Linked DNA regions of Callithrix jacchus. The main gene of each other region encodes a partner of the protein of the gene in region 2 in a complex. Links are inferred from orthologs where the notes say so. Each region holds a gene or a part of one and is shown on either strand. Other genes may lie near its edges. The genes, in order: MED1, PPARG, NFKBIB, NRIP1 and CREBBP.

What was found.
Region 1: the proteins of PPARG (region 2) and MED1 are in contact, whole or in part, in a crystal structure (PDB 6ONJ), measured with the Homo sapiens proteins. The link is inferred for Callithrix jacchus from reciprocal best matches to the Homo sapiens genes PPARG and MED1. Residues at the interface, in NP_056953.2 of Homo sapiens: Val321, Gln322, Thr325, Glu326, Lys329, Phe334, Leu339, Asn340, Asp341, Gln342, Val343, Thr344, Leu346, Lys347, Gly427, Leu429, His494, Pro495, Leu496, Glu499, Ile500, Lys502; in NP_004765.2 of Homo sapiens: Asn638, Thr639, Asn641, His642, Pro643, Met644, Leu645, Met646, Leu648, Leu649, Lys650, Asp651.
Region 3: the proteins of PPARG (region 2) and NFKBIB are in contact, whole or in part, in a crystal structure (PDB 9CK0), measured with the Homo sapiens proteins. The link is inferred for Callithrix jacchus from reciprocal best matches to the Homo sapiens genes PPARG and NFKBIB. Residues at the interface, in NP_056953.2 of Homo sapiens: Gln322, Thr325, Lys329, Phe334, Leu339, Gln342, Val343, Leu346, Lys347, Leu496, Glu499, Ile500; in NP_002494.2 of Homo sapiens: Asn286, Pro287, Ile288, Leu289, Ala290, Leu292, Leu293, Arg294, Ala295.
Region 4: the proteins of PPARG (region 2) and NRIP1 are in contact, whole or in part, in a crystal structure (PDB 9CWN), measured with the Homo sapiens proteins. The link is inferred for Callithrix jacchus from reciprocal best matches to the Homo sapiens genes PPARG and NRIP1. Residues at the interface, in NP_056953.2 of Homo sapiens: Val321, Gln322, Thr325, Lys329, Phe334, Leu339, Gln342, Val343, Leu346, Lys347, Pro495, Leu496, Glu499, Ile500, Lys502; in NP_001426204.1 of Homo sapiens: Ser130, Thr131, Leu132, Leu133, Ala134, Leu136, Leu137, Ser139.
Region 5: the proteins of PPARG (region 2) and CREBBP are in contact, whole or in part, in a crystal structure (PDB 7RLE), measured with the Homo sapiens proteins. The link is inferred for Callithrix jacchus from reciprocal best matches to the Homo sapiens genes PPARG and CREBBP. Residues at the interface, in NP_056953.2 of Homo sapiens: Val321, Gln322, Thr325, Glu326, Lys329, Phe334, Val335, Leu339, Asn340, Gln342, Val343, Thr344, Leu346, Lys347, Leu496, Glu499, Ile500, Lys502; in NP_004371.2 of Homo sapiens: Asp62, Ala63, Ala64, Lys66, His67, Lys68, Gln69, Leu70, Ser71, Leu73, Leu74, Arg75.

Annotation. Positions count from the first base shown.
Region 1 is NC_133506.1:119,909,735-119,915,295, forward strand, and holds the start of MED1 (mediator of RNA polymerase II transcription subunit 1), read right to left. Parts: upstream 3,917-5,561; 5' UTR 3,714-3,916; coding exon 3,689-3,713; intron 1-3,688. UniProt on the Homo sapiens protein: Component of the Mediator complex, a coactivator involved in the regulated transcription of nearly all RNA polymerase II-dependent genes.
Region 2 is NC_133516.1:69,579,023-69,584,101, reverse strand, and holds part of PPARG (peroxisome proliferator-activated receptor gamma), read right to left. Parts: intron 3,156-5,079; coding exon 2,705-3,155; intron 1-2,704. UniProt on the Homo sapiens protein: Nuclear receptor that binds peroxisome proliferators such as hypolipidemic drugs and fatty acids.
Region 3 is NC_133523.1:34,460,355-34,466,013, reverse strand, and holds the start of NFKBIB (NF-kappa-B inhibitor beta), read right to left. Parts: upstream 3,622-5,659; 5' UTR 3,529-3,621; coding exon 3,350-3,528; intron 1,728-3,349; coding exon 1,622-1,727; intron 1,540-1,621; coding exon 1,206-1,539; intron 1-1,205. Other genes in the region: SIRT2 (NAD-dependent protein deacetylase sirtuin-2), read left to right, coding at 4,042-4,057, 5,133-5,179. UniProt on the Homo sapiens protein: Inhibits NF-kappa-B by complexing with and trapping it in the cytoplasm.
Region 4 is NC_133522.1:22,076,802-22,082,536, reverse strand, and holds the start of NRIP1 (nuclear receptor-interacting protein 1), read left to right. Parts: upstream 1-2,195; 5' UTR 2,196-2,396; exon of another isoform or gene 2,397-2,540; intron 2,541-3,117; exon of another isoform or gene 3,118-3,369; intron 3,370-5,735. UniProt on the Homo sapiens protein: Modulates transcriptional activation by steroid receptors such as NR3C1, NR3C2 and ESR1. Also modulates transcriptional repression by nuclear hormone receptors.
Region 5 is NC_133513.1:5,996,617-6,002,344, forward strand, and holds the start of CREBBP (CREB-binding protein), read right to left. Parts: upstream 3,521-5,728; 5' UTR 3,391-3,520; coding exon 3,306-3,390; intron 1-3,305. UniProt on the Homo sapiens protein: Acetylates histones, giving a specific tag for transcriptional activation. Mediates acetylation of histone H3 at 'Lys-18' and 'Lys-27' (H3K18ac and H3K27ac, respectively).

The DNA.
Region 1 (5,561 bases), on a different chromosome or scaffold from region 2:
AGCCTGGGTAATAAGAGTGAAACCCCTTCTCAAAAAAAAAGAAAAAGACTCCAAAAATAAAGGTGAATAGGAGATCAGTCAATCAGAGTCAAGGCAGTGAGGATGAGATCTTCTAAATCAAGATTCAAAATCCTGTTTGGGCACAGTGGCTCCACCTGTAATCCCAGCAGTTTGGGAGGCTGAGGCTGGTGGATCACAAGGTCAGGAGTTCAAGACCAGCCCAGCCAAAATAGTGAAATACCATCTCTACTAAAAATACAAAAAAATTAGTCAGGCGTGGTGGCACATGACTGTAATCCCAGCTACTCCGGAGGCTGAGGCAGAAGAATTGCTTGAACCCGGGAAGAAAAGGTTTCAGTGAGCCAAGACTGCGCCACTGCACACCAACCTAGGCAATAGAGCGAGACAATATCTCAAAAAAAAAAAAAAAAGATTCAAAATCCTTCCTACAATGCCCTCGTCTTCTGGAAAACTACTTTAGGGACTGTTTTAGCCAATTTATAGTTCTGGATACATTTCTGCCAATTTCCATCTTTATTCTAAGACATTCATTCGGATCCCATGGTAGAGGGAGCCATCGGTCCAAGTACTTTGGAGGCCAAGGCGGGCAGATCACCTGAGGTCGGGAGTTCAAGACCAGCCTGACCAACACGGTGAAACCCCGTCTTTTATTTAAATAAATAAATAAGTAAAAGAAAAGAAAAATAAGAAAGAGAGAGAGAGCGAGAGTGCGGAGGGGGAGAGAGAGATGGAGAGGGAGATAGAGAGAGACAGAAAAACAATGAAAGAAATAAAAAAGAGCGCACCATGGCTCACGCCTATAACCCCAACGCTTTGGGAGACTTAGGTGGAAGAATCGCTCAGGAGTTTAAGCCCGGGAGTTTGAGACCAGCCCTGGCAACACAGCAAGTCCCGGTTTGTACTAAAAAAAAAAAAAGACATTCATTCAAACATTTTTTTTTTTTTTTAATGAGATGGTGTTTCTTGTCCAGGTTGGAGTGCAATGGCGTGATCTTGGCTCAAGGAAACCGCCACCTCTCAGGTTCAACTGAATCTCCTGCCTCAGCCTCTGGAGTAGCTGGGATTACAGGCATGCACCTTGCCACACCCAGCTAATTTTGTATTTTTAGTAAACACGAGATTTCACCATGTTGGACAGGCTGGTCTCCAACTCCTGAACTCAGGTGATCCACCCACCTCAGCCTCCCCGTTTTGGGATTACAGGTGTGAGCCACCATGCCTGGCCTCAAACACTATTAAAAGCGCTGGGGAGGGCTGGGTATGGTGGCTAACATCTGTAATCACAGCATTTTGGGAGGCTAAGGCAGGTGGATCACCTTAGGTCAGGAGATCTAGACCAGCCTGGCCAACATGGTGAAACCCCATCTCTACTAACAATATAAAAATTAGCCGGGCATGGTGGTGGGCGCCTGTAAACCCAGCTACTCAGGAGACTGAGGCAGGAGAATCGCTTGAATCCGGAGGTGGAGGTTGCAGTGAGCCAAGATCACAGCACTGCACTCCAGCCTGGGTGACAGAGTGACACTCCATCTCAATTAAAAAAAAAGTGCTGGGGAAGCCAGACATTGTGGCTCACACCTATAATCCTAGCTAGCACTTTGGGAGGCCAATGTGGAAGAATACTTGAGCTGGGGAGTTCAACTACAGCTGGGGCAACGTAACAAGATCCCACCACTTTAAAAGAAAAAAATAGCCAGGCTCTGCTAAGTGGCTCACGCCTGTAATCCTGGCACTTTGGAAGCCCCTTCTCTACTAAAAATATAAAATTATCAAGTGTGGTGGTGCATGCCTCTAATCCCAGCTACTTGGGAGGCTAAGAAGAATCACTTGAACCCAGGAGGCAGAGGTTGCAGGAAACTGAGATTACATCATTGCACTCCAGCCTGGGCAACAAGAGTGAAACTGTCTCAAAAAAAAAAAAAAAAAAGGACAGTCTTACTCAGTAGCTAAGGCTTGAGTGCACTACTGGCACAATCATAGCCTATTGCAGCCTCGATCTCCCAAGGTCCAGGATGAAGTGATCCTCCCAGCTCAGCCTTCAGAGTAGCTGGCACTATAGCTAATTTTCCTTTTTTTTTTGAGACAGGGTCTCACTCTGTCACCCAGGTTGGAGTGCAATAACATAATCCTGGCTCACCGGAGTCTTGACCTACAGGATTCAGGTAATCTGCCTACCGCAGCCTCCCAAGTAGCTAGACTACTGGCTTGTGTCACCACGCTCAGCTAATTTTTGTATCTGTTGTAGAAACAGGGTTTTGCCATGTTGTCCAGGCTGGTCTCCAACTCATGGGCTCAAGTGACCCTCCTGCTTCGGCCTCCCAAAATGCTGGGATTACAGGCTTGAACCACTGCCTGGCCCTAATTTTTTATTTATTTATTTATTTATTTATTTATTTTTGAAATGAAGTTTCACTTTCATTGCCCAGACTGAAGTGCAGTGGCAAAATCTTGACTCAATGCAACCTCCACCTCCTGGGTTTGAGTGATTTTCCTGCCTCAGCCTCTCAAGTAGCTGAGATTACAGACAAGCCACCATGACCAGCTAATATTGTATTTTTAGTAGAGATGGCGTTTCACCATATTGGCCAGGCTGGTCTTGAATTCCTGACCTCAGGTGATCCACCTGCCTTGGCCTCCCAAAGTGCTGGGATTACAGGCCCTCACGCCCAGCCAATTTTTTTATGTTTTTGTAGAGAGAGGGTCTCACTATGTTGCCCAGGCTGGTCTCTAACTTCTGGGCTCAAGGGATCCTCCAGCCTCAGCCTCCTAAAGTTCTGGGATTACAGATGTGAGTCACTGCACCCGGCCCCACCTTTTGACCTCTCCTCCAAAACATACTTCTTGTTGTCCTTGAGAAACCTGCTGATAGGTAACTTTACTTCAATGCTCAGACATTTTTTGAGCGACTATTTACGTCAACGCTTATTTTTTGAGCAACTATTACGTGCCAGAAACTATACAAAAATTAATCAGGCAAGGTCCCTAATCTGCAAAGCTCAGAGTAAATTGAAAAAGATAAACAAACAATAATACAGCTCACTGTATCAACAGAACTATGCCCAAAATGCTAAGGAAGCATCTATACTGGAGTGTGGAACTTTAGAGAATCTTAGTAAAGTTCCACAGAAAAGTTTGTTTTTCTGCAGTTCTTAGTTCAGTCAATAAAAGAAAGGGAAAAAAAAATGAAATTCAGTGCAGTTTAAAAACACACAATAGCACGGGATCTGAACACTTGACATTGTAGGGAACTGCTGGCTGCTAATAAATATAAGGACCTAATCATTTCATTTATGCCAAAATATCCTCCAGTACGTTTACCCACAGCCCTGTATTTACTCAGACGTCTCTTCTGGAACGAGATGTAAGCTGGTTTTGTATTCACTGGCCCGGTCTCCCACCACTTTAAGCCAAAAGTGCCCTGAGGCCCAACCGACTGTCCCTAGTCGATCAGGAAATCTTCACAGAAGTTGAGAGTCCCCATCACCCCAAAGTCGGAGCTCTATATTCACCAAGGAAGGTATAGTGAGAATCTAAAACTCATAAACATTCCCTCTCCTGGACTCTATGCCCGTAAAGTGGCCCCTATCGGACATTGGCAGGAACCTCCTCTCACAAACCGGCTCCCCAAATTGTGTCCCGCCCCCTCCTTTCCCCCTCGGTCACTTACCCTCGGTTTCCCCCTGAGCTTTCATCCTGAAGGCGGGGAGAGCCTGGATCTGCCACAAAGGGATAAGCCCTTCCCCGCCACTAACGGGGAAAACAAGTTGGCCCGGGATCCCGAGACGCAGGGCACCAGCAGTCCCTACTCTTCCCGGGAAGGATCAGTCTGAAGTCCCCGGCGACAAGAAGAGAAGGGTGCTCGAGGCCGCCGCCATCTTCCCCAACGGAACTTCCCAAAATTCGCGAGATAAACCGTGGTCCTGCCAGAGGGAGGAAGAGGACAGGGCATCGAAATCTCGCGAATATTGGTCAATGCGTGGGCCTCGCGAGATTTCTTTCAAGCTAGTCCTGTCTTTGCTCTGGGCTGTCTCAGGCCTGACGCTGCTGGTTGTTAAAACTGCGGGCCAGTAACTTACAGCTCCCCTGCGGAAACCAGCATTTTCTTTTTTAATTTGAGCAGTTAAACAACTCGCAAATTAAAATCTCCAGATCTCTCTACTGAAAGACTATCTTTTCAAAGGCTATTGGTATCAGGAATGTATGTTTTCCGTGAGATACTAGATGCAATAATTATGTCCTAAGAAAGCTAGTGGCGCATTGTAACATGACATTCAAAGACAGCCTAGCACAATTAATTCCCCTTTCTTTCCTTCTTTTTTTTTTTTTTTTTTTGAGACGGAATCTCGCTGTGTTGCTAGAATGGAGTCCAGTGGTGCGATCTCGACTCACTGCAATCTCCCTCTGCCTCCTGGATTCAAGCGCTTATCCTCCCTAAGCTTCCCGAGTAGCTAGGATTATAGGTGTGTGCCACCACACCAAGCTGATTTTTGTGTTTTTAGTGGAGACGGAGTTTCACTATATTGGCCTCTATCTTCTGACCTCGTGATCCGCCCGCCTTGGCCTCCCAAAGTGCTGGAATTACAGGCGTGAGCCACCGCGCCGGCTTCTTTTCTCATTTTTTTAGTTTCAAAACTTTCTTTCTCTTTCTTTCCTTCTTTCTTTCTCCTTCCTTCCTTCCTTTTCCTTCCTTCCTTCCTTTTCCTTCCTTCCTTCCTTCCTTCCTTCCTTCCTTCCTTCCTTCCTTCCTTCCTTCCTTCCTTCCTTCCTTCCTTCCTTTCTTTCTGACAGAGTTTCACTCTTGTTACCCAGGCTGGAATGCAATGGCGCGATCTCGGCTCACCGCAACCTCCATCTCCTCGGTTCAAGCCATTCTCCTGCCTCAGCCTCCCGAGTAGCTGGGACTACAGGCGCAGGCGCCATGCCCAGCTAATTTTTGTATTTTTAGTAGAGACGGGGTTTCACCACGTTGACCAGGATGGTCTCGATCTCTTGACCTTGTGATCCACCAGCCTTGGCCTCCCAAAGTGCTGGGATTATAGGCGTGAGCCACCGCGACGGCCTCTCTCCTTCCTTCCTTCCTTCCTTCCTTCCTTCCTTCCTTCCTTCCTTCCTTCCTTCCTTCCTTTCTTCTTTCTTTCTTTTTCCTTCCTTCCTTCCTTCTTTCTTTCTTTTTTGAGATGAAGTGTCGCTCTCTCACCCAGGCTGGAGTGCAGTGGCAGAACCTCGGCTCACTGCAACCTCCGCCTCCTGGGTTCAAGCGATTGTCCTGCCTCAACCTCCAGAGTAGCTGGGATTACCGGCACCCACCACTATTCCCGGCTAATTTTTGTATTTTTTTTTTTTTTTTTTTTTGAGACGGAGTTTCGCTCTTGTTACCCCGGCTGGAGTGAAACGGTGCGATCTCGGCTCACTGCAACCTCTGCCTCCTGGGTTCAGCCAATTCTCCTGCCTCAGCCTCCTGAGTAGCTGGGATTACAGGCACGCGCCACCATGCCCAGCTAATTTTTTGTATTTTTAGTAGAGACGGGTTTTCACCATGT
Region 2 (5,079 bases):
CTTTATAGATGCCTGAGATTCAGATCTCACTTCATAAAGCCCAGAATTCTCATGACTGCTTCTTGTTGAGTCCTTGCCTAGTTGAAACTAAGTATCTTTGAGTGGCTCATTTCAAATGCTTCTCTTTGTATCTGTGGGTAGGAATACAAACTGCTATGAACTTACACATAGGTGTATGTATATATCTATATATGTGAGTGTGCGTGTCAAATTCCTGATAGGAAAAATAGGACTCTTAATTATATTTTATTCTGAGTGCAAAGCCCTTTAGTTTTCACCTATACCATTCTGTACTCTTTCAATTATAAAGTGACCATTACTTTTATTTAAAAAGTTAACAAAAAGTATTAACAAAGAGTATGTAATGAAATGGGAAACTGATTCAGTGAAAAGAACAGACATGGGATATATAGTAAGCTCAGGAAAAATATTTGAAATAAATTAAATATTAGTATATTTCCAAATTTTATTAAAAATAAAATGTGCCTTTATTAAAAATAAAATCGTAGATAAATAGGCTGGGTGCAGTGGCTCATGCCTGTAATCCCAGCACTTTGGGAGGTGGAAGTGATTGGATCACCTGAGGTCAGGAGTTTGAGACCAGCCTGGCTCTACTAAAAATACAAAAATTAGCTGGGTGTGGTGGTGCATGCCTGTGATCCCAGCTACTAGGGAGGCTGACGCAGAAGTCACTTGAACCTGGGAGGCAGACAACCTGGATGTAGTGAGCAGAGATCGCGCCACTGCGAGAAGAGCAAGACTCCATCTCAAAAAATAAAATAAAAGTAAAATAAAATACTAGCTAAGTAATATAAACTGTTTTTCAAATCTAATTTTTCAAAATTTAATATTTTTCTTCTGGCAAACCTCTTATATACTGGAATCTCATCCTTTTTTGCCAAATTAATAAAATATACTACAGAGTCAAGGATTAATTTAGGTAGATTTGGTCAAGCTATTAAACCATGCCAGGTAGTATATTTTTGTTCTATTAAATATAATATCAAGTAGTTATTTGACCCTGGACTTGTGGCTCTAAAGGTAAACTACACCATATTGTGATCTATTTGCTCCCTAGGCATTTAAAGGGCGGTATTCTGCATGATGTGATGGTAAACAGCATAGAGTCTGAGCCAGCATGCCTGATTCACAATCATGGATCCATCTTTTGCTAGACACGTGACCTCGGGCAAATGAGAAAACCTCTCAGTGCTTTGGTTTCCTCATTTGTAAAATGGCCCTTACTTCCCTGAATTGTTGTAAGGGTTGAATAAATATGCATGAGGTGCTTAGAACACTGCCTGGCACACAAGAAGTACTAAATAAATGTTTGCTATTCTTATGACTACTGTACTATGCACATGATTTCAGAAACATTCTCCTTTCAACTGGACAACAAAAGACCACACAGTGATCATGCTCTTTATAATCCAGTGTGCAGTTATACACAGTTTACCACTATCCCCTGATGGCTTTTTCAGAAACAGAGAATTCACTGTAGAGTACATATAAAAAGCTCACATGAAGTCCACTTCAACAGGAAAACCCGCTACTCAGAAACAATTTTTACACAGAGAGATGAAAGTAAAACCTCATGAGAGGCTAATGAAAGTAAGGTTTAGGTTGGGTGTAGTGGCTTATGCCTACAATCCCAGCACTTTGGGAGACCAAGGCAAAAAGATTGCTTGAGGTCTGGAGTTCGAGATCAGCCTGGGCAACATAATGAGACCTCACCTCTAAAAAAATTTTTTAAAAATTAGCAGGGCATGCTGGTGTGCTCCTGTAGTCCTGGCTACTTGGGAGGCTGAGGTGGGAGGATCACTTGAGCCGAACTGTAAAATGGCCATGTATTACTTCTATGAAGTAGCATGATCATAGCTTACTAAATGCAGTTAGAAGCTGCAGCGAGCCATAATCATGCAACTGCACTCCAGTCTGGGTGACAGAGTGAGGCCTTGCCCCACACACAAAAAACAAACAACAAAAAAAGAAAAGAAAAAAGTCACACTCAGTAGGAAATCTGGTTTTTGGAACTGGTTAGTCAGATAATATACTTCCAAGGCCAAAAATACAACAAATTGCTAAATAACTCAGTTTATCTCTATGTTGTGTGTTCGGTTCACATTGCATTCTTAATCACAACCAACTACTTCATAAAGGTACTTTAAGGGAGCCATCAGAGGAATCCACACAAGAGAGTGGGTGGAGGTCAGTAGGTATTCCTTAATTTCTGATATCAGAAAAGCAATTCAAAACAGTATCTTACTGATGATAGCGCAGGAGCATAATTCGAGCAGAAACACTTAGTAGTACCTTCTCTAGGCCAAGTCAACAATGTCTGAAGCAAAGTTATATATGTCATTACTTACAGGAAACAGAGATTAGACTGGCCTCTAATCTTCCTTTCTGGAAAGAAAGAAGGAAACAAAGGAAAAAGGAAAACAAGAAGAGGGCATTTGACTGGAAAAAAATATATTGTGTGGGATGAAAGAGAAGATCCCGGGTTACCCATAGCCTTCATAGCAGAAACCTTTGATATTCTTTCTTGGTACAGTGTTTTGCATGTGTAGTGATGATTCATGGCATTATGCCATTGGCACTTAATGTGACAACGAACGCAGACTAATACTAAGGAAATTCAAAATTTTGGCCATCCCACCATCCTCCCACCCTCTCTCACAGAAGATCAAAAGACAAATCTTACCTCCACTGAGAATAATGACAGCAATAAATATTGCCAAGTCACTGTCATCTAATTCCAGTGCATTGAACTTCACAGCAAACTCAAACTTGGGCTCCATAAAGTCACCAAAAGGCTTTCGCAGGCTCTTTAGAAACTCCCTTGTCATGAAGCCCTGGCCTTCGGATATGAGAACCCCATCTTTATTCATCAAGGAGGCCAGCATTGTGTAAATGATCTCGTGGACTCCATATTTGAGGAGAGTTACTTGGTCATTCAAGTCAAGATTTACAAAACCAGGAATGCTTTTGGCATACTCTGTGATCTCCTGCACGGCCTCCACAGAGCGGAACTGGCAGCCCTGAAAGATGCGGATGGCCACCTCTTTACTCTGCTCCTGCAGTGGGGTGATGTGTTTGAACTTGATTTTATCTTCTCCCATCATTAAGGAATTCATGTCATAGATAACGAATGGCTGCAAATAAAACAGAAAAAGTGGCTGAATTGGAGAGTTCTAACTTACACTGAATGTCATCCCAGTTCAGAAAACTGTTTCGTTATGTAAATTTGCTTTGTTAATTAAAATCTTTAAAGCTGAAGACGCTTAATAATGAGGACGTATTCTCAAGTTCTTTTATTCATCTTAATTGTCTTCTGAGACCAAAGGTATTTCATCAATTTCGGTCTTCTTTCTCTTCAATTTATACTATAACACCTAACCTATGACTGCCAGGAATCCCAATGTCTCTTGTTTGGGAGTCTTCATTGTTGATTTTTATGTTTATTTGTTTGTTTTTGAGACAGAGTCTTGTTCTGTCACCTAGGCTGAAGTACAGTGGCACTATCTGGGCTCATTGCAACCTCCACCTCCCAGGTTCAAACGATTCTTGTGCCTCAGCCTCCTGAATAGCTGGGATTACAGGCACCACCACCATGCCCGGCTGAGTTTTGTATTTTTAGTAGGGATGTATTTTTAGTAGAGTTTTGTATTTTTAGTTTTGTATTTTTAGTAGGCCATATTGGCCAGGCTGGTCTTCAACTCCTAGCCTCAAGTGATCCGCCTGCCTCGGCCTCCCAAAGTGCTGGGATTACAGGCGTGAGCCACCGTGCCCAGCTTTTTGTTGTTTCTAAAATGATACAAAATCTACTGTTTATCTTGGCTTTCAATGAAATACACTTTTGGCCTTCTTTCAATTAAAAGTCATTTTGGCAACTCAGGGTTGAGAATACTCACTTGAACATAAAGTAACTTTTCAGGTTTAAAAAACATGTTTTTCTTATTTTTTTTTCCTTTTCCTTTGTTCTCCTTCACAGGTAATAACTTTTCAGTTTTAGATGACATCCTCTAAGATCACAAATGAAACTATGTGCATATGAAATGTGTTTAAGTATTACAAAATCACTCTGAAAGCAGATTTGAGCTATTGAACCAAGAAAATGTCTATTTCTTTTTTTAATGCTCTGGAAGTCATCTATTTCAGAAAGAGCAGATTCAGAAAGCCTGTAGGGGACTGCTGCAAAAAGTGGCAAAAAAGGGTTTTGAATTTATATTTTAAAATATTTGTCCTTACAGGTTAAACAATCAATAAAATACATGCCCCAATTATTCAAGTTTGCAATCGGCTGTTTTCAAAAATTAAGTTGTTTGGTCATGACCTGATCTTTCTCTGACTTTCCTTGTATAGAACTAACCAAAGGTTTGTAGTCACTGAGAAGTTCTCAAGGCTGCTCTAAGGGCAACCTTCTACTTACACTGGATACAGTGAATGACATATAGGAGTTAAACCTTGAATCCTGTTCAAATACTTGTGTACCTGAAGGCACTGGAAGAAGAGCTGAAGGTATCTGGGTTCTAGTTTTCGTTCTGTGGTGAACTATGTGACTTAAGGAAAGTCATTTACCTTTCCTAGACCTGAAATTTCTTCATCAGGGGTTTCCATCTCTTCTCTGGGGGAAATTCTAGCTGCATTTCTCAGAAGCAGGATGTGTGTAGGGGGTGGGCATATGTGTGGAGAGGTGTGAGTGTGTATGCACAACAAACATGAAGTCTCTGATGGACTAAAAGTAAAGATTTTTTTGAGCACAGATGCTGAGAATTCTCTCCTGAGTGGGCAGAGAGAAGGTGCATGAGTGGCCGTGGCAACTGGCTTCAAGATGCACTGGTTGGAGATTCTATTCATCTCTGCGGAACTCTATGATTTCCATCAAAATATTAAGTCTGTTCTACACTGGAGGAAATAACACCAACATTAAGGACTCTTAGATCTTAAATATTTCCAAACTTGTACGTCACATCAACACCATTTACTGGAGTTATTCTAGAAGTTTTTACTTTTGTTACCAAAAAATTCACTTCAACTGTACTACTTAGCAAACTCCAAAAGAGGACAGATGTGAGG
Region 3 (5,659 bases), on a different chromosome or scaffold from region 2:
CTGGGGACAGAGTGACGCATCAGATGATGGGGTGAGGGGTCCCCCATGCTTTGATCCTGGGGGAGGACCACGTGGCCTGAGGGTGATCAGGTGTGGGGCTGGTTCCTGAACCTTTGGGTATGTCAAAGAGGTACCTGGGTCCTAAATGTGTGTGTCGGATGGCCTTAGCTTGCCGGCAAGTGCTAGAGCCTGGGCTTTGAGAAGCCTGGGGCTCATGGGTGAAGAGCCTGGGGTCTGTGGATGGGGGGCTGGGATGTTGGGGCCAGGAGACCTAAGTCTCTGCTCTTAATTCACAAAGGACCTGAGCTGGTGCGCTGGCTCATGCCTGTAATCCCAACACTTTGAGAGGCCAAAGCAGGCAGATCACAAGGTCAGGAGATCGAGACCATCCTGGCCAACATGGTGAAACTCCATCTCTAGTAAATCCACAAATTAGCCGGGTGTGGTGGCAGGCACCTATAGTCCCAGCTACTCCGGAGGCTGAGGCAGGAGAATTGCTTGAACCCAGGAGGTGGAGGGTGCAGTGAGCTGAAATCACACCACTGCACTCCAGCCTGGTGGAGAGTGGGACTCCGACTCAAAAAAAAAAAAAAAAAAAAAAAAAAAAGGGGGGGCTACCAAGTGGCTGAAAAGCCTGTGATCTGGGGGTGAGATGCAGGCCCTTAACAATGGGTCCTGAACGACCTCAGTCCATCTGAGGAGGGGTCTGGTACCAGGTGGGCAGGCTTATAGGTGAGGGAGCAGAAACTTGGATGCCAGGCTGTGGGCAGGTGACTCCTTTTTCCCATGAGGCAGAGGAGGGCTGTCCCTGCTGCCCATCACTGGGAACCTGGGGTGCCAGAGTTTCCCAGAGGGCCTGAGCTCTGCATTCCCTGGTCCTAGGTGGGGTAGGGATACCAGCTTGAATACACCCTGCAGGTGGGGAGCCCAAGGGCCCAGCAACTGGATCCTGGCAGCTCTGGGTCTATGAGTGCCAGGTCTGCGTCCCAAGTGATCTGGGGCCTCCAAGTGGGAATCCTGGGTCTTACATATCCAATTGTCAATCATCTGGGCCCTGAGTGGAGGTCCCTGGTCCCGATGCCTGGGTTCCTGAAGCCTAGGCGTGATTTCCCAAGGAGTTCGGTCTGGAATCAGGGAAGAGAGCCCAGGGCCAGGTGCTCTCACCTAGCCTGGGAGCTCAGTCCTTCCCTGGTGGCGACCCTCACCCTCATAGTTTTCAGCCTCCAGCTGTAGCTTCCACTCCTCCTCACTCTCCTCTTCTTCCTTCTCCAAGTCAGAATCGGGGTACAAGGTGACAGGGGTATGGTTGGTGTCGGGATTGTGGTCTGGGCCATGAGCGAGGTAGGTGTCCGGGGCTTCCCTGGGCCGCCGAGGGCGGGGCTGAAGCAGGGCACGGGCACAGGCAAGTGCCCCCACACGGCAGGCCAGGTGTAGCGCCGTGTGGCCCCCACGCTCTGCCACGCACAGCCCAGCGCCTGCTGCATACAGCTTCTCCACCGTGGATGCCTCCCCCAGGATGGCTGCCAGGTGCAGGGCCGTCTGCAGAAGCAGAGGACAGGCAGTAGGGAGTCACACTGGGAACCCCAGACCCCAACCCCTACTCCATCCCCTCGTGGCTCACCTGGCCTAGGTCATTCTGCAGGTCCATGTACTCAGTGCCGGCTGAGAAGCCTAGAAGAAAATCCAGGAAGGGTTCGTGCTGATGAATCACAGCCAAATGCAGTGCCCTGGGGACAAAGACTGGGGTCAGAGGGCAAAATTCAAGTCCTCTTGCATTCCTTCATTCAACAAACATGGGGTGGCTACTGTATGCTAGGCTTTGGGACCACAGTTCTGGAACCCACTGTCAGCTATCTGGGAGGGTCAGAGAGGTCAGAGTTTCATCAGCAAATTTGTGGAACCAACAATGTTTATTCAGTGGGATTTCCACTTCTGCCCAAAATGAAGTAACATGGACCAGACTTCCCTCCCACAAGAAACAAAGAAAAATCAGACGCAATACGGTATATGAAGCAACAGTGTTGAAGACGCTGGACGTCATGCAATGAATCACAGTGGCCCCCGAAAGACAGGAAACATGAGGTGGGCCCTACACTTGACTGCCACAGCTTATGGTCTTGAGAGCCACGGTTGAGAGAGGGGACCCCAAGCAGAGCCCATCAGGTTGTCTGAGGTCAGGAGATGGACATGGAGGAAGAGTCTGTAGAGACCAGGCTTGCAAGAGTCACAGGACAGAGTTGTTGGCCAGGCGCAGTAGCTCACACTTTGGAGTGAGCTAAGAATCAAAGACCAATTGAAAACTAAAATAAAATTAATGAAACCAAATTAATTAACAAAAATTAATAAACCTAAAGCTGGTTCTTTGGTAAGATCAGTATTTATTAACTGCTTCCTGGGACAGGCACTGCCTGCATCACTGGGCATAGGGCAGTAAACACAACAGACAAAAAAACCCAGTACAGTCCCTCATCTGGGCCTTTGCAATTGCAGTTCCTTCTGCCTGAAATGCTCTTATCTTGTTTATCTATTGCCTCATTTTCCTGCTTTATTTTTCTCCAAAGTACTGACAACCTGTGACTTTCTTTCCTTCTCTTACTTTCTGTGTCTTTCTTTCTGCATGTCTTTGTTTCTTTCTGTCTTTCTGTTTCTTTCCTTCCTTGCTGTCTTATCAATCTGTTTAGCCCCACTAAAATAAAACGTCTCCTTCACAAGGGCTTTAGTTTTTTGTCTGTTTTCTTCACTGCCTTTATCACTAGCACCTAAAACGAAGCCTGGAATGTGGTAATATGTAAAGAATATTTGTTCAACAGATGAATCCTTGGTTTCATGGAGCTTACATTCTTTTTTCTTTTTCTATTTTTCTACTTCAATTAGGAATTCAACATAGGAGAACTTACATTCTCACTCTTTTAAGACTTGAAGAACACTGCTCAGAAAACAAGATCTTAGAGTCAGGGACCAAGTATTAATTTCGGAAATCAGTCTAAGGCTCACATCAGGAACTAAGAATCAAAGATTATATTTGGAGGTTCGAAGTCAGGAGAAGCCACAGTTCTAACAAAAGCCTCAGGACTGGAGTCGGGTTTGGGTATCCGTGGACAGAATGTGGATTCCAGGAGCTGAGAATCATAGTTCAAGAAAGGAAGGTCTGAAATGATTGGGTTAGCATCACAGCTGGATAGAAGATTGGTTTTGTTAAAAGTTAGGACTCAGGGGTTACAGGTCAGGAAGTTCAGCATCGGAAATCAGATTTAGGAGTAGGAGGTTAGGAAGCCTCAGGGATCAGAAACTAATGGGGAATCAGACGCCGGGTCCTAGGGCTCCGTTTGGCAACCTAAGGTTCACTCACGTGTCCCCATCCTCAGTGACGTAGCCGAAGACAAGGGGCGCCCACGACAGCCCCGGGCCCAGCTCTGCGACCAAGCCCGGTCCTCCGGGGGCCGCTGCGTCCGGACCCAGGGAGCCCAGGCCGCTGTCGCACCATTCATCTGCGTCGGCAGCTTTTCCCAAGCACGCGACCCCAGCCATGGCCCCCGCCACCTCAGGGGCCCCCCGCAGTCGCTTGCCTGGAGCTGGGCTTTGCCGGCAGTTCTGGCGCTTCCGCCCTGCGGGAAATTCCCCACCACGCCCCCTAATTCATCCAATGATAATATGCTGAATCGCTCGCGCCCTACCCTGGTACCATATCGTGACCAATCAGAGTATTTGGGAGGACTACGACTCACTAGCCGTTTTTACATTTTCCGGGCGCCCTTTACCAACATGGCTGCTGACGCCGCGCCTTCTGGGACTCGAAGTCCGGCCCTAGCGCGCTTTCTTACCTAAGTCTGGGGCGCTCTGGCTGTCGTACGAAAGCGCGGCTTCTGCCGCAATGGCTACTGGGAGTTGTAGTTCTAAGCCCTATCCCGGCCACTCCCATTTCTGGTGCCGTCACGGGACAGAGCAGTCGGTGACAGGACAGAGCAGTCGGTGACGGGACACAGTGGTTGGTGACGGGACAGAGCGATCGGTGACAGCCACGAGGGCTTCAGCACCGTGCCCATGGCAGAGCCAGACCGTGAGTCGGGGACCCGGGTGGGAGGGTCGGGCCGCGCCGGGGCCTAGCTGAAGGCTGCAGGCCCCGGGGCCCGAGGGCGGCCGCTGCGGGGCGGGAAGTAGGGAGCGCTTCGGATAGTGGGATTCTGAGGGTTGTTGCTAAGCGATCTGTATCGCTAGGCTGGTGGGTTTCTGGGTCGCAGGTTGTTCGGGGTTGGTTTATCACATCCGCTTGCCAAGTTGCCAATAATGGCGTGTTTTTCGTATCTTGGTTGCTGAGGACCCTCGCTGCAAAGAACCTAAGTTGCCGCGGTCCCTGTTGCTAAGGGTACCTAATTGTTAGAGGCAACCGGAGGATGCTGAGGGACCCCTGTTGTCCCCTCCTATGGCTTCCCTTCGTATCCGCGCCTCTCCCAAACCTACCGCCTCCACTGCACCACTGCACCTCCCTCCCAGACCTGCCTCCCAGCCGAAGCGTCCCCTCCCTTCTCCCTTCCTTTCTAAACTTCCCTCTGCCTTGTAAACCTAACCCTCCCGCACACACACTCACACTGCTGCGTCCTTCCTAACTCCTCCTGAGTGTTCCTTCATGCCCTGAATCCCCTAGGCAGGAGGAAGGAGGATCGCTTGAGCCCAGGAGTTTGAGGCTGCAGTGAGCTATGATCGCACCATTGCACTCCAGCCTGGGTGACATGAGCCAGGCCCTTTCTCTAAAAAGTAAAAGACAAAGAAAGTCAGGGCCAGACACAATGGCTCATGCCTGTAATCCCAGTACTTTGGGAGGCCAAGGTGGTTGGATCGATTGAGCCCAGGAGTTCAAGACCAGCCTGGGCAAAAGCCCCTACTTCTCCCTGTCCTCCTAAATCTTCCTCCCCAGCCTCTCTGCCCCTCACTAATCACCTCCCCGGGCACCACTTTGCATGCGGATAAGATATTTTCTCCCATCCCCTCTTTCCCTCTGCTCCAATTTTACCACCACCCCGTCCCAGTGTAACTAGGTTGGTGGGTGTTCTTGCCCCCTCACTGACAATTTGAACCCTTGTGTTCCCCCCTTAATCGTTCTCCCTACTGTAACCACCTCTGCTCCCCTCCCCCAGCCTCTCACCCTCTGGAGACCCAGGCAGGGAAGGTGCAGGAGGCTCAGGTGAGATGGGGGAAATGGTGGAGGGGAGGAGAGACATGGACTTGTTCCACATCCCATGCTGGGGGGAGGTGGCAAAGGAGAGACAGTCACCCCAGGGCCCTTGGCTCATTGTCCCAATCCTCACGCCACCCAGGGCAGCTTTATGGGGACAGGCAGATTCTGGGGATTGTCACAGAAGAGTTTGCAGTCTCGAGTCCAGGCTTGCCCTCCCAAACTCTCCTCCTTCCTTGCCACTGCCTCCCATCCCTTCTAAACCAAATTTGTCCTGGGCCTGGAAGAGACAGGTGTCCCATTTGGTCTTGGAACACACAGATCTCATGGACAAGTAATGGGAAAAATGATCCGACAGCCTGATGATGAAAGGAACTCAGGGTACGGGCGGGGGAGGCAGGTGCAGTGGCTTATACCTGTAATCCTAATAACTCAGGAGGCTAAGGCATGAGGGTCACTTGAGTCCAGGAGTTTGAGGCTGCAGTGAGC
Region 4 (5,735 bases), on a different chromosome or scaffold from region 2:
TGCTATACAGGAGAGATTTAGAGAACACACCAAAGGCATACCCCTCCAAGGCTACATCTTTGTGGTAGATAGGCCTACTGAGACTGAACTATAAGCATGTGATCCCACAGGAACCCTGGGCGTAAAACAATAATTAGGCGTTTGAGTATATAAACCGAACAGCGTTGTTTTCACATCGCAAATGGTTCAAATGAGAATTGACTTCGGAGTACAAATTACCAAATAGACATTCTTATATTACATATATGCCCTAGTATCCTTGCAATGACTCTGTTACCCGGGAAATTTAGGTATTGATTTATTTAAAAAAAAAAAAAAAAAAGACAACAAAACAAAATAGTCTCCACATAATTAGCATGATTAAGTGAAAATGAATTCCACAAGAGGTGTGCAATTTACTTAACACCCATGCACTATCAAAAGAGTTCAGGATTTCAAGGACTGGGTTTCTGTGTGATTGAGAAAACATAATAATAATAAGTGAGGCGCTTTGGGCAGTCATCTAACATACAGCAGTGGACTTTTTAACACCAGTGCTGGAGGGCTGGAAAATTCTCGGCTTGTTGGGCAACCGCTGTGGTTCAAAACCTGGTTAAGAAGTAAGAAGAATGCATTTAAAAGCTACACTTGAGTAGTCCAAATATCTTTCCTAAAGTCTATGCACTAACGTGTGTTGCACCTTACTCCTCGGTGAGCCCATCAGTCCCTCACCCAGAACCTATTAAGTTTACTTTAGACAGAATTGTGACAAGTGAAGCTATCTGGATTCCCAGTCCGCACTAGAATGGAAGTTACCAATCAGAAGATGAGAAGAATGTTAGTGGCAGCTATGCTGGTAACAGCAAGGACAACAGATTTTTAGTTAGTGAAGGGGGAGAGAGAGAAATTACAAAAGGCAGAGATAATCACTAAGTCATAGCATCCTAGAGTCCTTCTGTGTAAAGACTAATAGCTTTTGTACCTCCTGGGAGCATCCCTAACACCTAGGAAGAATATAGAATAGGAACTTGACGTATTTCCTGAATCCACTACAACCTACTACATAATCACTTTTAATAAAATTGACATTGAATTGTCAAGAAAATGCTAAATGACGTTCAATAAACTGCTTAAGAGAAACATTTGAAAGACAATACAGAAAAATCTTTGTATAATGGTTAAAAATAATTTTCACAAAAAAAGTTTGACTCCCACTAAGGGGCCAAGCTCCAATTATGCTGGTCATCATTGAATTGGAATGGTTTGCTTTGTATCAGTTCTGAATAAATGATGCACTAAAGAACAGCAGCCTTTACTAAGTTGCCTAGAGCAGATTTTGCACTGTGGTATATGCAAATAATATGCTATTATATGAGGTTTAACTATATAAAATGGCAACAGATTGCATCGTTGAATCACTGGGGTGATGTAAAATAATTGTTTTAATATGTGCCATTGCCACTAAGCAAAACATTGGAACCATGTGCCCGGCACTGTGCTAGATGCTGAATTTATTAAGCATTAATTTGAAAATTTGCTTTCACTTTCAAGACTATGACAGTATTTTAAAACTCGTATTCACATTTTTAAAGGCTAAGTGAAATTTGAAATACACAATACAGCCGTTACATAACAGGCATAAGAATACAGTTTTATGACTTGGATAGTTTTTGTTTTTTAAGCGCATTAGCAACTCCATTTCCAAATGCTATCAAATTCTTCAGGATATGAAAGCCTACATATAAGAATGGAGTGCCTCAGCGGCTCATTTGCCTTATGTAATAAGTGCTTTAACACAGGCATGCCATTTCAGAATTTCGGATGAGACTACGCTGTACTTTTAGCTTTTTTGTGTCAAGCAAAAACAATTTCAGCAACAACACTCCTTTCCCCTGGTAAATTTTTTCATGCTTATTACTAAATGCTAGATGCTCAAGTCACAAAGAAACCTGACATCTGGGGAGGTGTTGAGGGGGTGTTAATAGTTCTCGTGAGATGCTTGGTTGGGGAGCGTTGAGGATACGATTTTTAAAACAGCAAATACACGGAGAAGGGGAAATTATGGTTTCGTATAACTCTCTCCTCCCTCCACTCTCTCGTTTCACCAATCTGTAGCCCCCCCAATTTAGAGGCGGGTTCAGCGAGATTAGGCTGCAGGAAACCGAAAGGCTCCACCGCGCTGCCGCCCCGGCCTCGTGATGTAATTGTCATTTCTTATTCGGAGACTGAACCGGGGAGAGCTGCCGAAGTAGCAGCCCTGCTCCTTTGCCTTGTCTCGTTGGGTCAGATCCTGCCCGGGGATGATGTAGTTTGGCTGACAGACTCCGCCGGAGACTTCGCAGTGACAAAGCAGCCGAGGATTAACCCTGCTCCTGGGTCCTACGTCTGTCCAGGGAGCTGAGCGGGGCGCTCCTCAGGTCTTCTTCCTAGTTTTCCTCCCGGAGTCGCGCCACATTGAGTGCTGCTGGGTGCCTACTACGTGCTGGGCGTGGGGTCAAAGTGACCCAGAGTTCGCGCCCGTGCCCCCCGAGATTAAAGCAGGACACACAGATGACAAGGAGGTGGAAATCGGGGGTGGGTGGGTGAGAGGGAGCCCAGGGAGCGCGTGTCGTGGGGTGAAGGGGAGGAGGTAGACGCTTAAGGCGCCAGCACCCAGGCGGGGACCCTGGGGCGTCCGGCTCCCGGGCTGTGCCCAGGCGGGAGCGATCGGCCTGGGTCCCGAGAGCGCTTCCCCGAGTGCCCGGGAGGAGCTGTCCAGGCGCCTGCGGCGGTCGGGGGCCGCTGGACAGAGCTGGGAGCCCGGGGAACGTCCCCTCTCCCGGGGACGCGGTCCTCTCGCCGCCCCGGGGCCCCGCAGCCCCGTCTGGGCCACCCCCGAGCAGGCGAGGAGGAAAACCACGAACCAGAGGGGGCTTCCCGACTCCTGAGAGCGGCCCGCATCCGCGCGGCTTCCTCCCGACCGGGTGACAATGGGAGGGAGGGGGAGAAAAGGGTTAAGAAACTTGGCTGAAGAGCTGAATGGCGTGGGGCGGCGAGGGGAGGGACTGGGCCGCGGCGGACTCGGCGGCGGAGGGAGGAGCGCGGCTGCGGGCGGGCGGCGAGCGAGGCGCTCAAAGTCAGCCTCGCAGACATTGCAGCAGAGCCCCGAACTCGGGAGGCGGCGGCGGAGGAGGTGGAGGAGGCGCGGCGAGGCGCAGGGACGACCCGGCCCCACGCCCGCCCGCCACCCGCGCGCGCCCGTCCGCCCGTGGCCTCGCGTCCGCCGCTGCGCAGGGAGCGCCGCTGGTCGGAGGGAAGAGCTCGCCGGGGCGCCGGGCCAGGACGGGGCGGCGGGCGCCTTCGCGGACCGAGCCTGACGGAGCCGGAGGCTGGGAGCCGCGGCGGCCTCGGGTGAGTGGCGGCCGCGGCCGGGGCGCTCGGAGGAGCCCGCTCTGGCCCCGCCGGAAACGGCCGGGAGTGCGGCCCGCGGAGGCGCTGGCTGGGCGGGCAGGGCCGCGGGGGCGTCGGGGCGGCGGGGAGGGTGCGTTTCCGGGGAAATCCTGCCTCCGCTCCCCGGGATCTCGCGGGGGGCCGGGGCGGCGGGGCGGCAAGTTGTGGAGTGGCCCCGGGGCTGCCCGCCAGTCCGTGCCAGTGCTGGGCGAGGGGGCGGCCGCCGCGTGGCCCCTGCGCGGGAGCTCGCGGGGCCGGATCGGGGTTGCGCCCGGCTCGCCTGCCCTCTCGGCCCCGAGCCCCGGGCACCGCTCGCCGCGTCGCTCTCGGTCCTGCTGTCCAGCCGGATCCGGGGCGGCGCCTTTCGCCCGGGTGCTTCCCTGCTCGGTGCTCGCGGGATACCCGGCTGGGAAAGTGAATGGGAACCGGGACTGCTCGTCCGGCCCCCACCCGACCCCAGGCCCGCTCTGCCCGCACTCGTTGTCCCCTCCTGAGAGCGAGGCTCACGGACCCGAGGCCTCAGCCACCGTTTTACCCGGAGCCGGGGGCCGGCTCCCATTTAGGCTGAGCCCTGTGGAAGTCCGGGGAGGCTGCCTTTTCTCCCTTCTTCTGTGTCCACGTTACCGCTATTGAATATTGTTTTACGAAGGTTCCCATGGTCATCTTCTGCACACCCTCCCAGCCCTTCCAAAGTAGTTTCCCAGTTTTAATCAGGAGTTGGTGTTCAGTCTGAAGGAACAAAGGAATCAACTGTGTCTTAGAGGCGGACAGGCTGGAGTCTGTGACACATGTTGATCTCTGAAGCATTCCAGGAGTTGCTACCTTTTAGCACGTCAGTAATTGGGTTCTGAAGGTAGTAAAAGAAGAAAGGAATGATAAGCACTTTTTCGTTTTAAAAATATTCTGTAATGGCACATTTTACTTCGGGGGGAAAAAGAAGACGTTTTTAGGTACAAGGATTTTTAAGAACTCAATTGGTGGAACTGAGTTAGAGTTTGTCTCTGGTATTGTAAATGATTACATGTGGGATTGTGAAGGAAATTGTGTCCTTAGAGGCAGAGAAGCCATCTGTAGGTGTCCACAGTAAAAATGGTTGTCGGGTTATATATGATGAATGCTCTTTCTATTTCTTGGGGGAATTTGTGAAGCAAGGGGCTTCGGTAATTCATTCTTTAAAGTTATGAATTGCATTGAACCTGCTTATTAGTGAGTCATAGGTTTAGTAAGTGGGTGGCATTATTCTATGTTTAATCATCAGTTTTCCACCTTTGTTGAAGAGATAGTGAAATAATAGACTTTTTAAACAAATGGCGCTTCATCTGCCTGGCCCCTAAGTGTCGGTTGCCGCCTGGAGTATGTTGAAATGTTTTTTAACTTCCAAGTAAGTGAGTTGCTCTGGTTTTGCCCAGCAGTTCGGTATCGTCGGTAGGGTTTATCTGGTTCAGGGAGCAGTAGCTTCATCACTTATAGTAACTTTTCTTTGCCTGGGTATAGTTCCTAGAAACAAAGAAGGAGAATCAATTAGTGGAGCAGATACTGCCCTGCAGGTCATAGGACTGGTTGCTCTATCTAGTCTGTTTCATTAGCTGGTGGAAAAGACCTCTTTCCAAACTTACCCTTAAAAGTGCCCTAGGAGTGTGAGTAAAATATACATCAAAACATAAGAAAAAAAAAATGACTGTTTGTTGTTGATTTTATTCATATGAATTAGTTGAAAATCAGATTTAATGCCTGTTTTGCGTGCTTTTCCAAACTCTGCAGAACTTGGATTTTGCGAATTTTAACATCCTAAAATATTGTTAACTTTGCAGTAATGTGTGAAGAGACCAAAGGCTTTTCTGACTCTTGCAGTTATAAGTGCAAAACATCATGATAAAAAATAACCTATACCACCACCTAGAGTCTGTTTGTTAGTTTATTGCTCATGAAGTTTGCTTAAATTGACATGTCTGTTACAGTTCTGATATAGTCGAAAATGATTAAGAAGTGCTGGCTTTCAAAAGGCCATCCAAGAGAACAATTATTTAAGTAATAAATAGCAAGAGCCAGTTTAAATTTTTCATGCCACCTTTGGAATTGAAAATTATGACATATCAAGTTGAGTGGGCTATTCTCCAAGATGTTAATTCAAAATATTTTAAAACGGAGTACTCGGCTTGTGCACCAAGGCAGTTCTGATTCCTTAACAACTTCTGTGATGTTATCAGAGATTCAAGAAATCTTCCAAATCAGATGCCGTTAGAACTTTTTAAAGTCCGAATGAAACAAAAGCAAAAATATAGGAAAGCATTACAATTACAGAAATTCTGGCAATTCAGAAGTTAAGA
Region 5 (5,728 bases), on a different chromosome or scaffold from region 2:
CTACTGCTTGCCTGGATATTTGTCTTATACAATTAAATCATGAATCTCTGCTGTTGAAAGACACAATATGCTATTTTAACTCAGACATATTAAATAGAGAAGTTTCCAAAACACCCAACTAACTATATACTGATAACATGAAGTCCCCACTTCTTGTGAGGGTGCTAAGTAAAGGAAGACCTCATCTGTGAGAAAGTGTAAAATGCTGCTTTAACCTCTGAGGCCACCACATTCTGTGCCGCTCTGGGCTTCTGCTCCAGCGGCATGAAAGGCATTGTTTTTCCTTCCTCTTGCTACCCTCCTTCGCGGCACATTCCCTATTTCTGCATCATCTCTGCGTAAGCTTCCCAGCCTTCAGTGACTTCTGTCTGTCAACAGTTGCAGTGACATTTATCACTCCGAGGTGCCTCCTGACCTCAGGAGTGCTGTTTGCAACACCCACGCTCCCTGATGAGCAGCACCCTGGCTGAGCAGTGCCCCATTGTTGGAGGGGGCACTCTTCTCTCAGCTCACCACCCCCCCCACAGACATATCTAAATGACACTGGTGGCCCCACAGGCCAGTCTCACAAACATGCCCTGGAGTTCAAGTAGCTCCTGTTTCTCAGGCTGCTGTCTCCTCCTCCTTTCAACCCCTCAGCTCCCAGAGGTCCCCTCCCTCAAATGGGATCATAGGCATTGGGCACATACCTGCTCCACTAGGCCGAATTTTCCCCTGGGAGCCTGGGAGACACATCCCCTCGATAAAAAGATTGAGTCCCTCAAAAATGTTATTCTCTGGTCTGTCCCACATGACCAAATGCCTCCAGTCCTTAAGACGACTGCAGGCATTTATCTGTTTAATATACATCCCTCAGATCTCCAACCATCTCATTACTTGATTTCTTAGATTAGTAGTTAAACCAGACATGGTCATCCCGTTTTTTTTTTTTTTGGAGACAGGCTCACTCTATCACCCAGGGAGAGTGCAGCAGCAAGATCTCGGCTCACTGCAACCTCTGCCTCCCAGGTTCAAGCGATTCTCATGCCTCAGCCTCCCAAGTAGCTGGGATTACAGACACCTGCCACTCACTATGCCTGGCTGGCTAATTTTTGTATTTTTAATAAAGAAAGAGTTTTGTCATGCTGGCCAGGCTGGTCTGGAAGTCCTGGCCTCAAGTGATCCGCCCACGTCCACCTCCCAAAGTGCTGAGATTACACACATGAGCCATGGTGCTTGGCCCCTTGTTTAATGTGGTTGATAAGGATTCATTCCTTGATCCTCCACACGAACAGCCCCTTTCACAATAGTGTGATGGTGATGAACGGTAACCCAGGACCCAGCTTAAGTATGATGCTGATTTTCTATTTTGGACTAAATTGGACCATCTCAAACTGACTTTTGTTTCCACAAAAGAGCTCCTGAGCCTTGCAAGGATCAAAATTGGAAAGGAAGGGGGAAAGGGTGAGTAAGTGTGGAAAATCCTTTCTGATCAACTTTGTTCTTTACTAAGTAAACAATTTTGTTATTTATTAAGCATCTGGCCATCCAATAACGGAAACTATCAAAAAACCTATCCTTTGGGCTCCATCTTGGAAACAGCTGGATGTACACAGGACAAAGCTTTTTGTTAACGCTTGTGTTACTAACTGTCCTCCTTTTTAACACAAAATCTACAACAAATTCATTCAACAATAGCAGAGCCACAAAGCCACCCAGGTTACCAGTCTCAGCAGACAGCCTTCACAACTGAACTTGCCTTGTATGACCTACCTACGTCTCACAGAAGTGAAGGTTCTTCACTCAAACACAGCAAAGTTAATGAAGAAACGGAGATCTGTTTTGCAGCAAAGATCTCTTAAACTATTGTTCTTTAAGGGACTTAAAACTATTTTGTTTACAGATTTCTCACTTCAATAAGTTCATTTTATAAGATTAATGTCAAACTCAACTTTTAATCAGCTAAAAAGAAAAGCATTATTAGTGATTTTTATATACCTCGAGCATCGTTTACTTCTCCCCACTGTTTAAGGAATTTTAACTTGATAAGTTCTCTCCTCGTGATTTTTAAAAATAGTTTTTCACTTCTACATTAATATTAAATGTCGCTTATCAAAACTTGATTCCAGGAATTGTAGTCAAGCTTAAGCCACAAAATTCAAGTTTTGTTTCAACAGCAGAAGCAGATTTCTGAATATGCTAGTGGTCGGTCACAGAAATATTTCCACGAGTTGAACAGCTGTGTCTAGTGCAAATCTGAAGGCAGCAATGTAATTCAATTTGGACTCATTCATTAGAAACTGACTTTCAGACGCTGCCACTGCAAGACTACTGGAGAAATGCAAGCTGCGCTGGAGACAGAATTGTTCGCAGCGGCACACAAGTTTTTGCCACAAAGGAAAGAGCTCTCAAAGAGGAAATACAACTAGTTCATGTTACCATGAACCAGCGCAGGAGGACCCAGAATTACTGAATGAATAGAAAACTAAAGTACTACTCTTAAACAGCTATGATTACTCAAGAAACTTTCCAGGGAAGCTGTTTAATTAGAGGAAACAAACAAAAAAGGTGATTTATTCCGTATCCTGGTATATTTTTTAGAAAAATTGGAATTCCTACATTCCTTAATTTTTTGTACATGTACACGGTGAAAACAACACAAACTCAAACGGTGACTGCAGCCGAAATGAACTTAAAATCTGCCGTTTCACTTTCTTTTGAAGTTATACATGGAAACGAAACACTAAATGCCTAGTTGACAAAAAAAAAAAAAAAGTTTTGAAAATAAGCACTAAGCATCCTTCCAAGGAACTCACTCATTCCTAACTTCAGTCTAACTCAAAGCTGGCGGCTGCTCTGCGTCCTCTGACTGCAGCCTGGTCAATGTGTCGCCAATCAAGAAAACACATCGCGCTACCTCTGGCCGCGATCTTGCTTTCTCTAAGCATCAAATGTACCCTCCGCTGTCATTCCTCTGGACAGCCACGCGTGTGGACGGCCGTGGAAGGGTGCGTAGGGCATTCCCAAACAAACCCACACGCTGCACTTTACTTCTTCTCTTCTGGAGTGCCACTCACGTCCCCGCGAGGAGGGCTGATCAGGGGCGGGTAGGCCGAGTGCATCGTGCATGTGCTGCCCCATCTGGGCCCAGTGACAGTCCTGCGACGAACTTCCACCCTCCGGCGCGGGGCGAGAGGAACCGGCTGCCGGACCTGCTCCGGGCTCCCGGCTCGGTCGGTCTCCGCGACCACGACCCCTGGGCACTCTCTTCCGGATGGGGGTGACAGCGCGCCCCGGGATCCCGCTGCCCCGGACCCCCTCCTCACCTGTGCTGTCATTCGCCGAGAAGCCGGGCGAGCTGAGTTTGGCTCGTTTGGGGTTAGGAGGTCCGTCCAGCAAGTTCTCGGCCATTTTCACCTGCTCGCGAAAACAGCCCCGGGAGCGGGCGGCCGGGCAGGCGAGGGCCCGGGCGGGGGTCGGGGGCCCGGCCGGCTGCGAGGGAGAGGAGCGAGCGCCGGCCGTGAGCCGGCGGGCGGGCGCCGAGGGAGAGGGAGGGCGCAGGCCGGGTGGGGGAGGCGGCGGCCAAATCTCAGCCACAGCAACAGCGCCCCGCAGCGCTCACCGCCCGCCCCCGGCCGCCGCCGCCGCCGCCGCCGCCGCCGGCCGCGGCCCCCTCATCCCCTGCCCGCCTCCCGAGCGCGACACTCCGCGGCGGGGACGCCCCGGCGGCCCGGCTGCCCCCCCGGGGCCGGCTGGCAGCGACGGCGCCCGGCCGAGCGGCTCAGGCAGTCCCCGGGAACATGGTGGTGCCGCCGCCGCCTCGCTCCCCCCCCCGCGCCCCACTTAATGAATTCGCTCGCGGCCCGACGACGAGGGGGCTCCGGGCTCCGCTCCCCACCCGCGGCCCGCCGCCGCCGCCGCCGTGAGGAAAAACAATGCGCCGAGCGGGGTCGCCGCCGCCGCCGCCGCGGCCCCCCCACCCCCCGTTCCGCCGCCGCCGCCGCCGCCGCTGCCGCCGCCGCCGCCGCCGGGCTCCGGGAGGCCGAGCCGAGAGGCGAGCGGGGCCGCCGGGGCGGGCGCCGAGGGCCGGGCGGAGCGGGCCGGCCGGGCGGAGCGGGGTACGCGGGCGGTTGTGGGGCCCGGGACCGGCGGGGCCGAGTAGATCGCGCTCGAAGCCCCGGTCGGGTCCGCGACAAGATGGCGGCTGTTGATTCCTCAATTAAAAAAAAAAGAAAGTTTTTTTTCTTCTCTTTCCAGAGCCTGAACGGGGAGGGGGTGGGGGCGGGGCACGCCAGTGCGTCACCCCCCCCCGCGGCGTCACCACGCACAGCCCCCGCCCCGCCCCCTCCACCTGCGCCGGCCGCGGCGGAAAGAGCCGAGCGTGCTCGGGCGGAAGGGCCGAAGGCGCGGCCGCTGAGCAAGGGGCGGCGGGTGGCCGGGCGCGGGCGAGGCCTGCGGGACGCCGGGGCTACGGGCTGAGCCGCGGCTTTTGTTCTGACGGCGACTAGGCGACGACTGCCGTGGTTCCTGGCCCGAGCGGACTCCAGGAGCAGCGGCCTGGCCATGGATCGGGCCTTGGGGTGTGGAGTCGACGCCGGCCCGGGCCCGCCCGTCTCGCTGGGGCGGCGGTGCTTGTTCCCAGCTCCGCGCTTCCCGGAGACCCTCCTCGGTGGTGTCGGGCGGGGACTGCCGGGGGCGACCCCAGCCCAGACCACGCCACGCCACTAGCCCTCGCCGCCAGGGAAGTGGAATGGCCCCTGCGAGGTACAGACCGCCCTCGGGTCCGCCGACGAGGTGGGCCGATGGGGAAACTGAGGCAGGAAGGGCAGAGCAACTTCTCCAAAGTCGCCAAGGCAGAAAGTGGCAGGGCCAGAATTCGGATCCCGCCCCACCTCGTGATACTAGAGAGTGAGGGGACCTCACGCCTGTTCCCAGCCCGAGGCGGCGAGGCCGATATCCTCACCTATGAGAGTGGGGTGGCGAGCGCCAGCCTGGGCCGAGAAGGGCCCGCGCATAGGGCTTAGGCCTGCACGCCCCGGCCGTGCTCCCCGCCCCAGGCAAGTCGCAGGTGCCCCAGACGGATGCGGGCCTGGGGAGGCCCCCACGCGAGACCACAACCCGCAGGACATTTCCACGAACACCCAAGGTGTTCCCATCTCAGTTAGTTATCTGCCCCTCCAAACCTGCCCGGCTTCCTCATAAAGGTATCAGCAGCAACCCTATTTCCTAAGCCAGAAACCCTGAGTTCCTAAGTGAGTCATTGCGGACTCCTCCTCACCGGCCACGCACTCCTCTCCCGATGGTGTTGACCTGGGAGACGGCTCCTCTCGCACTGGTGGCGATGGCGGTAGCTGCTCACTTAAGTATTCTTTGCCCTCTTTTGTTTCTCTCCACGCAGCAAGAGTTAACTTCCCGAAAAGAGAGGAAAAAAATCTGTTTAAAACAACTCCCGGGCCGGGCAGGGTGGCTCATGCCTGTAATCCCAGCACATTGGGAGGCCTAGGCCGGCGGATTACCTGAGGTCAGGAGTTCGAGACCAGCCTGACTAGTATGATGAAACCCCCGCCTCTACTAAAAATCCAAAAATCAGCTGGGCGTGGTGGTGCGCGCCTGTAATCCCAGCTACTCTGGAGGCTGAGACAGAAGAATCGCTTGAACTTGGAAGGTGGAGGTTGCAGTGAGCCGGGATCAGCCACTGCACTCCAGCCTGGGCAACAAGAGTGAAACTCCTTCTCAAAAACACACCAAG